2 separate regions of the Mus musculus genome follow, and region 2 is reported to be linked to region 1. Evidence: microRNA targets listed by miRTarBase, many of them from high-throughput screens and not tested one by one. Region 1 holds a microRNA gene; the other region holds the end of a gene's coding sequence.
Evidence for each region. Region 1 holds the annotated microRNA mmu-miR-615-5p (GGGGGUCCCCGGUGCUCGGAUC, at 3,206-3,227, opposite strand). A microRNA usually pairs through its seed, bases 2 to 8, with sites in the 3' UTR of a target mRNA and lowers its output. Matches are read on the target gene's strand: a 7mer-m8 pairs with bases 2 to 8, a 7mer-A1 pairs with bases 2 to 7 and ends in A, and an 8mer does both.

Region 1 (5,376 bases):
AGGGAGCTGGAGGCACAGTCCCACCCCCTCAAGCCTGGGCAAGCTGAGACAGTCCTTCAGCTAGCTCCTCCAGGGAATAAGAGGTTCATGCCTGCAAAGGCGGGGGGGGGGGGGGGGGGGAAGATAAAACTCATAGAGTGCTGATGAACTTTGCCAGTCTGGTCTGATCAATATCACCCTTATTCCCTTCCCATCAAGCCCTGGTGTGCCCCCCTGGGGAAGAAGCATGAGTCCCCCTGAAGTCTGGGAGGCTGGAACCAGTGAGTTTGGGCACCATAACCTCTTCCTTATTTAACTGTTACCCATCTGAGCTGCCAGTGCTTCTTCATGCTTCAATGCTCACCCAATAGTTTTACGCAGCATGTAGAAAAAATTAAAATAACTCCCTGAAGAAAACCACACATTTTATTTCTCTCTCTCTCTCTCTCTCTGGCTGTCTCTGAGAGAGAGAGAGAGAGAGAGAGAGAGAGAGAGAGAGAGAGAGAGAGAGAGAGAGAGAGGAGGGTTGGTTGGTTGGGGCTGGGCTGCATGTCTGCAGGGTGCAAGTTGAGGGGAGATTTTAGCAGTGTTCTAACCTTGCCTGAGCACAGAGCAAAGGGAAGGGTGGTAATGGGGTGCAGCTTGACAAACATGTGCTGAGACCTCCTACATGCTAAGCATGGGATGAGGACAGGCTCTTGAGTCTTCTAAAAGTGACAGACACAATTGCTTAGACAGTGGGATGCAGTGAAGTCAGACCTTTAATAAATTCAAAGAGCATAAGCATTAATAATCATAAAAAGGAATCTCCCTGCCCCTCCCCAGAGCCACTCTGTTTCCTTTCTGTCCTAGTGTAGAGCAGCCCTTAGCCCAGTTTCAGATTCCCCACTCCTCCAGTGTGGGGGGCCTAGGCTTGGCTCCAGGAAATCACCCCATTGTGGAAGGCTGGAGAGGAAATGCAGTAAGGTTTTATGGGCCCATTCCGTGCGTTTGTTTCTCCTGTAAAGTACTTCCTCCTTCAACAAGTCCTGGAGCCTGGAGTGGAGCTAAGCAGCGCATCAGCCTAGGCCAGCCCCACCTGAATTAGCTGCATACCCTCTCCTATAGGGCACCCTCCCCCTGTATACAAAATCTCAGAGATATGATAGATGACAGCAAACAGGCATGGCTCCCACACTGATCTATACAGCTCTTATTCCAGTTAACTGTCCTTCATTGGCTTAGACCCTAGAAGACAGGGAGCAGTCTGTATGTTTTCTCTAAGGCAGGCACACACTGCAGGTTGCATTCACTGTCTCCTTAGTCCCCCTTGCCCCATCCCATATCTTAGAAGGCTGAAGAACATCTCAAACCGTGGCCATTTCTCCTTCCCCAACACCTCTTTACCAAGCAGCACCTACTATTGCTGCGAATCCTTCTGGCATCTAGACAGAGGACTCAACCTTTCTTCTATGTCAGAAAGGACCTACAAGGATGACCTAGACCCAGAAGAGCCTGAATCTAAGTCAGTGGAGCCACAGAGCTACTATTCTCTGGCATAAAGTACAGACTACAGTCTAGAAGCTTCAAGTCTCAAGTTGTTTTAGCCAACGTTGAGAATAGGATATAGAAAAGTCTGGGTAACTTAGACACACACAGCAAGTGGAAACAACAGTACAGGAGTCCTCAAGTGTACTCCCCTTCACCCCAGAGGCCCTTCTTGGAACCATGAATCAAGAAAAGAACTCAGTTCCATTGTTCCCTATTCTTGCTGCTCCTAAAGGTGTTTAAAAATATTTTTTAAGGGATGGTTTAAAGACTGGGCCTCCCAATACATCTCAGAGCCTATTTAGACACATCAATTCAATGCATGCCCTAAACAGACAGAAGTAATTGAATCTTTAGTCCTGTTCTTTTTCTGGCTTTATTTGATATGACAAAATATAGTTTCAGGAAGGGCTTGGAGTCAATAAATAGTTGGGCAACTGCAATGGGGCAGGAAGGTGAGAAAGTCATGGCAAGATATATAGGATAGCAAAAAGCCTCAAAGAACAACTTGCTAGGGTCCAAAGACAAGAGACCCCAATAGTTGAGCTAGCTAGCAGGCTGGAACTGTGAACCTGAGAGTGCATGCAGCAAGCCAGGCTAGGGAAGTTCCCGGGCTTTGGGAAGGGGATTGGAAGGTATAGAGAGCATAGGACAACCTCCGGGGTTACAGGCCCACTTTCACTTATCTCCCTCTTTCATATGCAAATAATTAATGAGCAAAGACAGTTTAGAAGTTACAAAGGTTAGTTGAAAGCACCCCGATTCTAGCTAGTCATAGCCTCTGCCTGGCACAACCAGCCTTCAGCAGGCTGGTCAGCCTAGGCAGGAACAAAGAAGAGGGTGAGGCGGAGGTCGGGGAGAAGGGGTTACAGTCAGTCTGTCTCACCTTAACTCAGGCTAGCTGAACTAGGGCTCGGAGCCGAGAGAGGCAGCCCAGGCTGAGACTTATCCAGTACCCGCCCTACAAGAATGTGCCCCGGGCCTGGGGTGCTCAGCTGAGCTGAGGCAAGACAGGCAGTGCAGGCGGTCCTGCGGAACCCTGGGTCGATGGGGATTCGGAATGCCAAAGAAATGCGCTTTTGTCTGGGAGGCCCGGAGCCAGTGCTCTAGCCTCCGCCTCAAAATCTAGAAGGAGGAAAACCGAAAAGGAAGGGCGCAGGGACCACAGCAGACCGGGGTGCTCTCTGAGGGCTCCCTGCTTCCTCTAAAGAGCTTCTTTGCTCTTCATTTTGGAATCTTTCTTCCACTTCATCCTGCGGTTCTGGAACCAGATCTTGATCTGTCTCTCGTTGAGACACAAGTTGTTGGCAATCTCTATGCGCCTGCGGCGAGTGAGGTAGCGGTTAAAATGGAATTCTTTCTCGAGTTCCAGGGTCTGGTAGCGCGTGTAACTGGTTCGGGACCGCTTGCCATCCGTCTCTGGAACATAAATTCCCCCAAACCAGGGAGGGATGAATAGCGTGCAGCACTCCAACGTCCCACCCTAGTCCCAGGCCCCACCCGTGGTCGGAGGGAGTAGAGGTGAGCGCGGTGGGACAGGCCAGAAGGGCCGCAGGCGGGCAGGCCCGGTCCCGGGAGAAGCGCCTCCGCCTGGGCAGGAAACTTTCCACCGCCGCCTTCACTCTGCGGCCGGAGGGGCTGAGGGGGGATGGGGGGAAGAGGGAGACCCAGGCTCGGACCGAACAATAAGCACCCTCGAGATCCGAGCACCGGGGACCCCCCTCCCGCCCCTCCCGAGTCGCTGGAATCCTCCGGAGCCGCGAGCACTGGCCGAGCCGGCTCCGCAGGGGAGGGAGGGAGGGAGCCGCGGGGGGATCCCCACTCTGGAGCCCCATGCTCCTCACCCTTCAGATCCCTCTATTTTTTTAACTCCCTCCCTCTCCCCCCAAAATTGAATATTGCCTTTTATACACGTTTTGTTCCTATGATCCAATTATGTCGTCGTAAATTTGGGCGCACACAGCCTCTAAGCCTTTTAGTGGACAGTTTTACGAGCCATTGATGCCTGGATCGTAAAATTTATGGCCGCAGGTTTTTTTTCTTTATTTGCCCCGCATGGCCTATAAAACCCAGGCGGACCCGAGCGCGCAAAATGAAGTCCTAAAGTTTACCGTGGCTCATGTGCAGTTTGGTCATCCACGGGTAAATCTGTGGCGGGGCCGGTGGCTGGCTCAGTCCGGCAGGCTGCCCTGTCTGCGCCTGCTCCTCTTTGATCTCCCCACTGCTCTTAGCTCGCTCCTCCAGCGCCGGGCGAGCCGCCTTCTGACTGTACATCCCAGGGTTCAGAGGAGCCGCTTCGTCTCTGCCCAGAGCGTGTCCCGGAGCGGCCGCGGCGCTGCAGGCGGGGCGGTCGGGGTGAGCCCGGGGGTTGGCAGCCATGTCTACCCCGTGGAGAGAGTTGGAAGGCGCAGGCGGTGGGAAAGTGATGCTTAAGTCCAATCCGCCGTAGCAGTACCTGGATGCCTGCACCTCTGAGGCCGATCCATAGTTCCCACAAGTTTGCATGTTATAGGCAGGGATATTGGGGCTCTGCTTATAGAATGAATTGGCTACGTAGGAGCTCATGGCGGGGAGGGCCCAAAAAAAATTTCTGCACCCTTTTTGATTAAGGGTGATTTGTGACTCTTTGAAGTTGAGGGGGTTTTTGTTCTCCAAAGTGCACAATTTATAGGTGGAGATATCTCTTTCTTTATCCTATGCGCTCTTCCCAAATAAGGGAGCCTTAAATAGAGTCACGTGACTGGAGCGGCCACTCATAAATTTGGCTTGATGACCTCCGGGAGGTTAGTGATGGAAGCCGGCGAAACGCATCTTGATATGTTGGCAAAGCCCGGGGGTTGGGGGGGGGGGGATGAAAGAGAAAGAGAAGCAAGGGGGAGGAAAAAAAAATGGTTCTTGGAATTGGGGGGTAGTCGGGACAACGAGCTCACAGCGACACCTGGTGCCGACTCGGAGGAATTTCATCTTGTAGCATCGCTTGGCCTTCTAGCAGTCAGTTTGTGGAGAAGTTGTTGCTTGTTGGACAAACTAACCCATTGAGCTTGTCTTTAAAATTCTGCTTAAAATTGAGAAAGGATGAGGCCTTATTTATGAATTACACCGGTGGTTTTTGAAACGAATAGTGCCAGTTCCCTACCTCCAGAGCCTTCCAAACTTCAATGATGACTGAGAAAGAGAGTTGGGGTAGCTAAAGCCCAGCGTGGAGAGCCAGGAGGACATATCTTGGGTTACCTAAACTAAAGGTCAAGGTCTCTTGCTTGGGAGGATTGAACTCAGTTTTGATAAAGAGAAGCTTGTCTTGTATGCTTGGAAAAATTAACCTCTGGGAGGTAGGCAGGATACCCAAGAGGAGAGAGGGTTCCTGAATGAGCAGAAGCAGCAGACAGGTCCTGAGGCTGAGAGTCCTAGGTACTCTCTGGGATGTGACTGGAGGTGAGGGGCCAGGTGAACTTGGGTAGACTTCACAATGTTAGGAACCCTAACATGTTGCAAGAGGCAACATTCCTATGCATGTAACTAGACACAATGAACTGGAGGGCCCTTCTACAGCTCTGTGTGGTCTTCATGTGGTACCATGAGAATGCCAGATATTTCAGATGACCCCCAAGAGCATAGAGGGGCAAGATTGAAACCTCCACAAATATTATGAGCAAGGCAGAGATAAAAGTCTGCTTTTGTTCTTTTAGAGGTAAGCTCTTAGCCCAGGTTTCAAGATAGAAGGCTCATGGGGAGGTGGGTGGGCAGGCAGGGAGTCGGGCAACCCAGACACAGTCTTTGGCCAGGGTTTCTTCAACCTTTGGGTCCTATCCCCTTTCTTAGTCCCAGACCCTACTCTTTACTGCCCACATTTCCTCAGGAACTGAGGAACTC
Region 2 (5,376 bases), not on the chromosome of region 1:
GGCCCTGTGTTCTATCCAATAGCCGACTGCACTCATGTCTCTAGCTGCACATGTAGTAGAAGGTGGCCTAGCCGGCCATCACTGGGAAGAGAGGCACCTAGGTCTTGCAAACTTTATTTGCCCCAGCACAGGTATACAGTGGGTAGGGGAGTGAGGGGGGGGGGGTATAGGGAACTTTAGGAATAGCATTTGAAATGTAAATAAAGAAAATATCTAATAAAAAAAAAGAAATTGTTTTTACTTAATGATATTCAACCCTCAGCACTGAACAACATGTGTACAACTGAAATAAATAGTAATCTCTTTCTAAAATATGTTTGGGGAGAACATTCTAATCAATTCCCAAAATACACATTCCTTTTCTTAAAAAAATATATATGTATACGCCTTTAATCCCAGCACTTGGGAGGCAGAAGCAGGCTGATTTCTGAGTTCAAGGCCAGCCTGGTCTACAGAGTGAGTTCCAGGACAGCCAGGGCTATACAGAGAAACCCTGTCTCAAAAAAATAAAAAAAGATATATATATATATATATATATATATATATATATATACATAATAACACCACACACACACACACACACACACACAACTTGCCAAACTCTGCTCCCTCCAGTGTCACTCCCTCATCCCCTCTCCCCTTCTCCTCTGAGAGAGTGGGGCAGCTGTGTGTCTGCATTTCCACCTCGCTGGGGCTGTCCACTCAGGGGAGGCAAGAACTCAGTCTAAGACAGCCTTACCCTGTGTTTCTCCAGATGAAAGACAGTGGAGGTTGGGGTGGAGGCTGTGGCTCTCAAACTCCTGTGCACCTAGACACCCCTGGGAACCCTGAGTTGAGAATCGGAGCCTGCTGGCCAGTGCTGCGCCTAGGACAGAGATGAATCCGGCTTACCTCCGAGTGTCATGAGTTCAGGGGGGCGGGGAGAGGGGGGCTTCTACAGTAGACTCAGGCACAGCTCTGTATGAAGAAGGCCTCCCCTGCAGCCGTCCTTGATGAAGCAGATAATCCTTGCCTGCCCAAACTGTTACATTCGTGACGGATGAAGATGCATACATCTTACTCCGGGTGGACCAAAGATTACATACCTTTTGAAGGAAGGATGCTCAGGAAGGAGAATTCATTAGATAGGCTAAACGCTCGGGGCCTATCTAGATACATCATTAGCATGGAGAACCTTGGGTTCTATGCTATGAGATTGGTTGTCATGGTCCTCTTAGTGGGGTGTTGTGGTCATGTGCTCCTGGTCAGGATCTAGTTTGAACTCCTGCCGTTCTGTTATGAAATTTACCAGGATTCTGAATTTGTTACCACCTTACCAATTTTTCTATCTGGTGGCATAGTCTACTGCCGCACAGACTGCCCCTGGGTATCCCCCAACCTTGCAGCATCAAGTCTCTGCAGGATTAGTCATAACTTCTCCCACTGAGGCCAGACAAGGTTTCTCTGTTGGGGAAGGGATTCTACAGACAGGCTTTAGGGTTAGCCCCATTCCAGTTGTTGGGGGACCCACATGGAGACTAAGCTACATGTCTGCTAAGTATGTGCGGAAGTGGGGTTGGGGGTGATCCAGCTCGTGTATGCTCTTTGGTTGGTGGCTCAGTCTCTGAGTACACATTTCTTAATACCAACATTTTTTATTCCAACAAGTAGAATAAAGTAGCTTGATTTATTTTAATAAGAACATTCCTAAAGTTCAGCTTATAAATAAATCATCTTCTCATTCTTATGAGTTGTATTTTGAAACACGGTCACATGTAATCCAGACTGGCCTTGAACTCACTATGTAATTACAAATGACTTATGGTGGCTTGAATGGGAATGGCCCCCATGGACTCTTATGTTTGAATGCTTGGTCATTATATTTGACAAGTGAGGTGTGGTCTTGTTGGAGTAGGTGTGGCCTTGATGAAGGAAACTTGTCACTGGGACTGGGGCCTTGAGGTTTCAACTGCTAAAGCCAGGCCCAGTGTCTCTCTCTTCCTTCTTCCTTCAGATCCAGATAGAGAAATCTCAGCTACCACGTCTGCTACTGAGACTCTATGCGCCCTCCTATGATGTTAATGAACTAAACCTCTGAAACTATAAACCAGCCCCAATTAAATGTTTTCCTTTATAAGAGATATTGCAGTCATGGTGTCTCTTCACAGCAATAGAACACCGACTAAGACAACCCTGAAGTTCTTTTTTTTTTAGGTTTTTCGAGACAGGGTTTCTCTGTGTAGCCCTGGCTGTCCTGGAACTCACTCTGTAGACGAGGCTGGCCTCGAACTCAGAAATCCACCTGCCTCTGCCTCCCAAGTGCTAGGATTAAAGGCATGCGCCACCACGCCCGGCTAACCCTGAAGTTCTAATGCTCCTGAATCTACATGAGTGTGTGCTACTACCCTTGACTCAGGATCACAGTTTACATGTGTGCAAGTACACATCTGCCAAGCTGTACGTATACAGGTCAGAGGGTCACTTGTGGGACTCTGTTTTCTCCTGTCACCATGTGAGTCCCAAGGATCAAACTCAGACTGAGAGGCATGGCGGTAAGTGCTGGGGTGCCGTCTCCCTGGCCCAGAATCAAAGGGTCAAAGGGAGTCGTAAGATTCACATTGTTCACCCTAATTACTCAGAAGAAAAATTTCTCTCCTCTTCTGTCTTTTTTTCCTTCTACTATTTTTTTGTTGCTTTGTTTTAAAATATGTCTCTGCTGGAGAGATGGCTCAACAATTAAGAGCTCTAGCTGACTGCTCTTCCAGAGGACCCAGATATCCAAGCACCCACCTGGCAGCTCACAACTGTCTATAACTCTAGTTCCAGGGGATCTGTCACCCTCACACAGGCATACATGCAGGAAAACCACCAAAGCAAAGCAAATAAAAATTAAAATAAATAAATCATTAATAAAAAAAATAGGTTTCACTGTGTATCTCTGGCTGGAGCTCCATGGAGCTCATTCTGGCACTGAGCTTCCTAAATCCTGAGGTCACAGGCATGTGCCATACCTGGCTCTCTTCTAGTGTTCCAAATTTCAGTTTTGTCCTTGTAAATGACACTAAGAACAGAGGAAATGTTTGTCTAAACTGTTATTTGTCTACACTAAGCATACGAACCTAAAAGTGAAAGGGGCTCTAGCTTAGACACAAGCTGCAGCATGAAACACTGGTTTCCCATCTACGTCACTCAGCAAATGCCCCCTGTGGATGTCCTTGCATAGCATCTGGTCTTTGAGAAAAAAGCCAGCTTCACGTATTTCAAGCGGAGAAAAAAACTTCACTTTAGCACTTTTAATTACATATAATAATAACTGTAGAAAAAATTCTCAAAACTAAATTTTTAAAGTAACTTACAAAATTCCTTAAAACATAAAAATTAAAGTTACTACACTAATTGCTTTTCTGTTGCTATGATAAAGCACAATGGCCAAGGCAACTCATAGAAGGAAGGGTTTATTTGAGGCTGACAGTTACAGATGTGTGGGAGTCCGTCACCATCATGGCAGGGAGCATGGCACAGGCAGGCATGGCGCAGGAGCAGCTGCTGAGAGCTCACACCCAAGCCATAAGCAGGAAGCAGACATCATACTTGGAATGACAGAAGTCTTTTGAAACCTCAGATCCCACCACCAGTGACACACATCCACCAAGATCATATCTCCCAATTGTTCCCAGTTTCACCAAATGAAGATCAAGAATTTAAACATACAAGCCTACGGGGAACATTCTCATTGAAACCACCACCAGTTATTTTTATTAATTTATATGTATGGTTATTTTGCCTATATGTATGTATATCACACGAGTGCCTGCCAAAGCCATGGAGTCTGATCCCTGACAACTGCAGTTGTAGATAGCTGTGGCCCATCATGGGGTGCTGGGGATAAAACTCAGGTCCTTTGCTGGAGCAACCAGCGCTCTTAACTGCTGAACTATCTCTCCTGTTCCTGGACATAACATTTTCAAAGAACAGCATACGGAACTAAGTCCTATACATGAAACATTACCTGAACTTCTTTTAATGTTTGAATTCAAATCTACCATGTATTTAATAACTCATTTATTTCCAGAATCCCATTTTTCTGTAGGATAAAGTGTATTTTATTTATATAGCGGAGAAAGTAGCTCCTCGCTAGCCGAGGCACTACTGGCATTTGATAGCTGCTGGTAAAAGGCAACTTCCTTTAATGCTGTGATCTCTGGTGTATCAACCACACTCCAAGGTAGGCCCTATACTCAAGAGAAGATGGTCAACACAAACTGAACTCAGCTAAAGAGATGGCTCAGTGGTTAAGATCACTGACTGCTGCTCTTCCAGGGGTCCTGAGTTCAAACCCCAGCATCCACGTGAGATCTGACAACCTCTTCTGGTGTATCTGAAGATAGTGATACTGTACTTACATATAACAAATAAATATTTAAAAAAGAAACACACAAACTGAACTCAATTAAGGGAGGGAGGGGAGAAGAGACGGAAGGAGAGAGGGAGGTACACGTATGCTCACTACCCTAGGTTTAAAATATATTTTGTACTCCCAAATATCAGTGATTAAAAACTAGAGCTGGTTTTTGTTTTTTGTTTTTTGGGTTTTTTTTTATCAGTCAAGGGCATTGTATCTTTAACTAAAATAAAGGAATACCATAGACAACAGAGATTCCAGTTGAAATCAATAAATATCAGCATATGTTTCTGTTTACACATGTGAGAAATGCCTAACATGTAAATGAAATGAACACACACTTTTCTACAGTAAAAGCATAGAGACCTTAAGCACACGTGACAAAACCTCACCAGAAAATTCTTCAAAGTGTCTCTTAGGTGACACAGAAATTTTTCTCCATTGATTTAGATATTTTTATTGACCTTTTGTTCTTCAAAATCTCTCCCGAAATGGAGTAAGATTTTTGACTTTGTAAACAACACAATTTCAAGTATATTTACTGCTGTCCTTGGAGGCACCTCATGTCCTCTGCTCCTCCCGTACACTGGGGCTACCGGAGGTGTTAGCATGGAGTGCTCCTGTTTCCCCCTTTAAAGCAGACTCAGCAGGCTCCTGGTGCTCCTGAGCCCTGGATCTCACAGCATGGGCTGCATAGTTAAGGCTGGTATTTTCACTCCAATGCCAGTAACCTGAGAAAGGATTATAGACCAATCCTGCCACAGTTTCAACTGACAGACCATCTGAAAAAAAAAAAGAGAAAGAAATCAAATAACTTGGACTCAATAAACATTTACCATTCAAACCACAAGAATACACAGTCACTCTTCATATTAACATAAAGTAAGCAACTTAATGAACAACAAGGCTTTGCAGTCATGCTTGATCATTCTTAACTGCAAGTAAGAATACACACTCCAAGCCCAGCTCTGACTACTGTAGCGGTCCCCTTCTGA

Region 2: the mRNA of Coq3 is a reported target of mmu-miR-615-5p. Seed matches in the 3' UTR shown: 7mer-m8 at 4,299-4,305.

The regions. Positions count from the first base shown.
Region 1 is chr15:103,012,777-103,018,152 of GRCm38, reverse strand. It overlaps Mir615 (microRNA 615), which reads right to left and starts at 3,243; the gene lies at 3,152-3,243. It overlaps Hoxc5 (homeobox C5), which reads right to left and starts at 4,145. Exons shown (of 2, transcript NM_175730.5): 1 at 3,618-4,145; 2 at 724-2,925. The coding sequence starts at 4,071. The coding sequence ends at 2,711. It also overlaps a transcript of Hoxc4 not described here.
Region 2 is chr4:21,910,206-21,915,581 of GRCm38, reverse strand. Coq3 (coenzyme Q3 methyltransferase) reads right to left here. Exons shown (of 7, transcript NM_172687.2): 7 at 3,419-5,163. The coding sequence ends at 4,943. Among named protein-coding and RNA genes, the nearest start is that of Faxc, 18 kb to the left of the region's middle.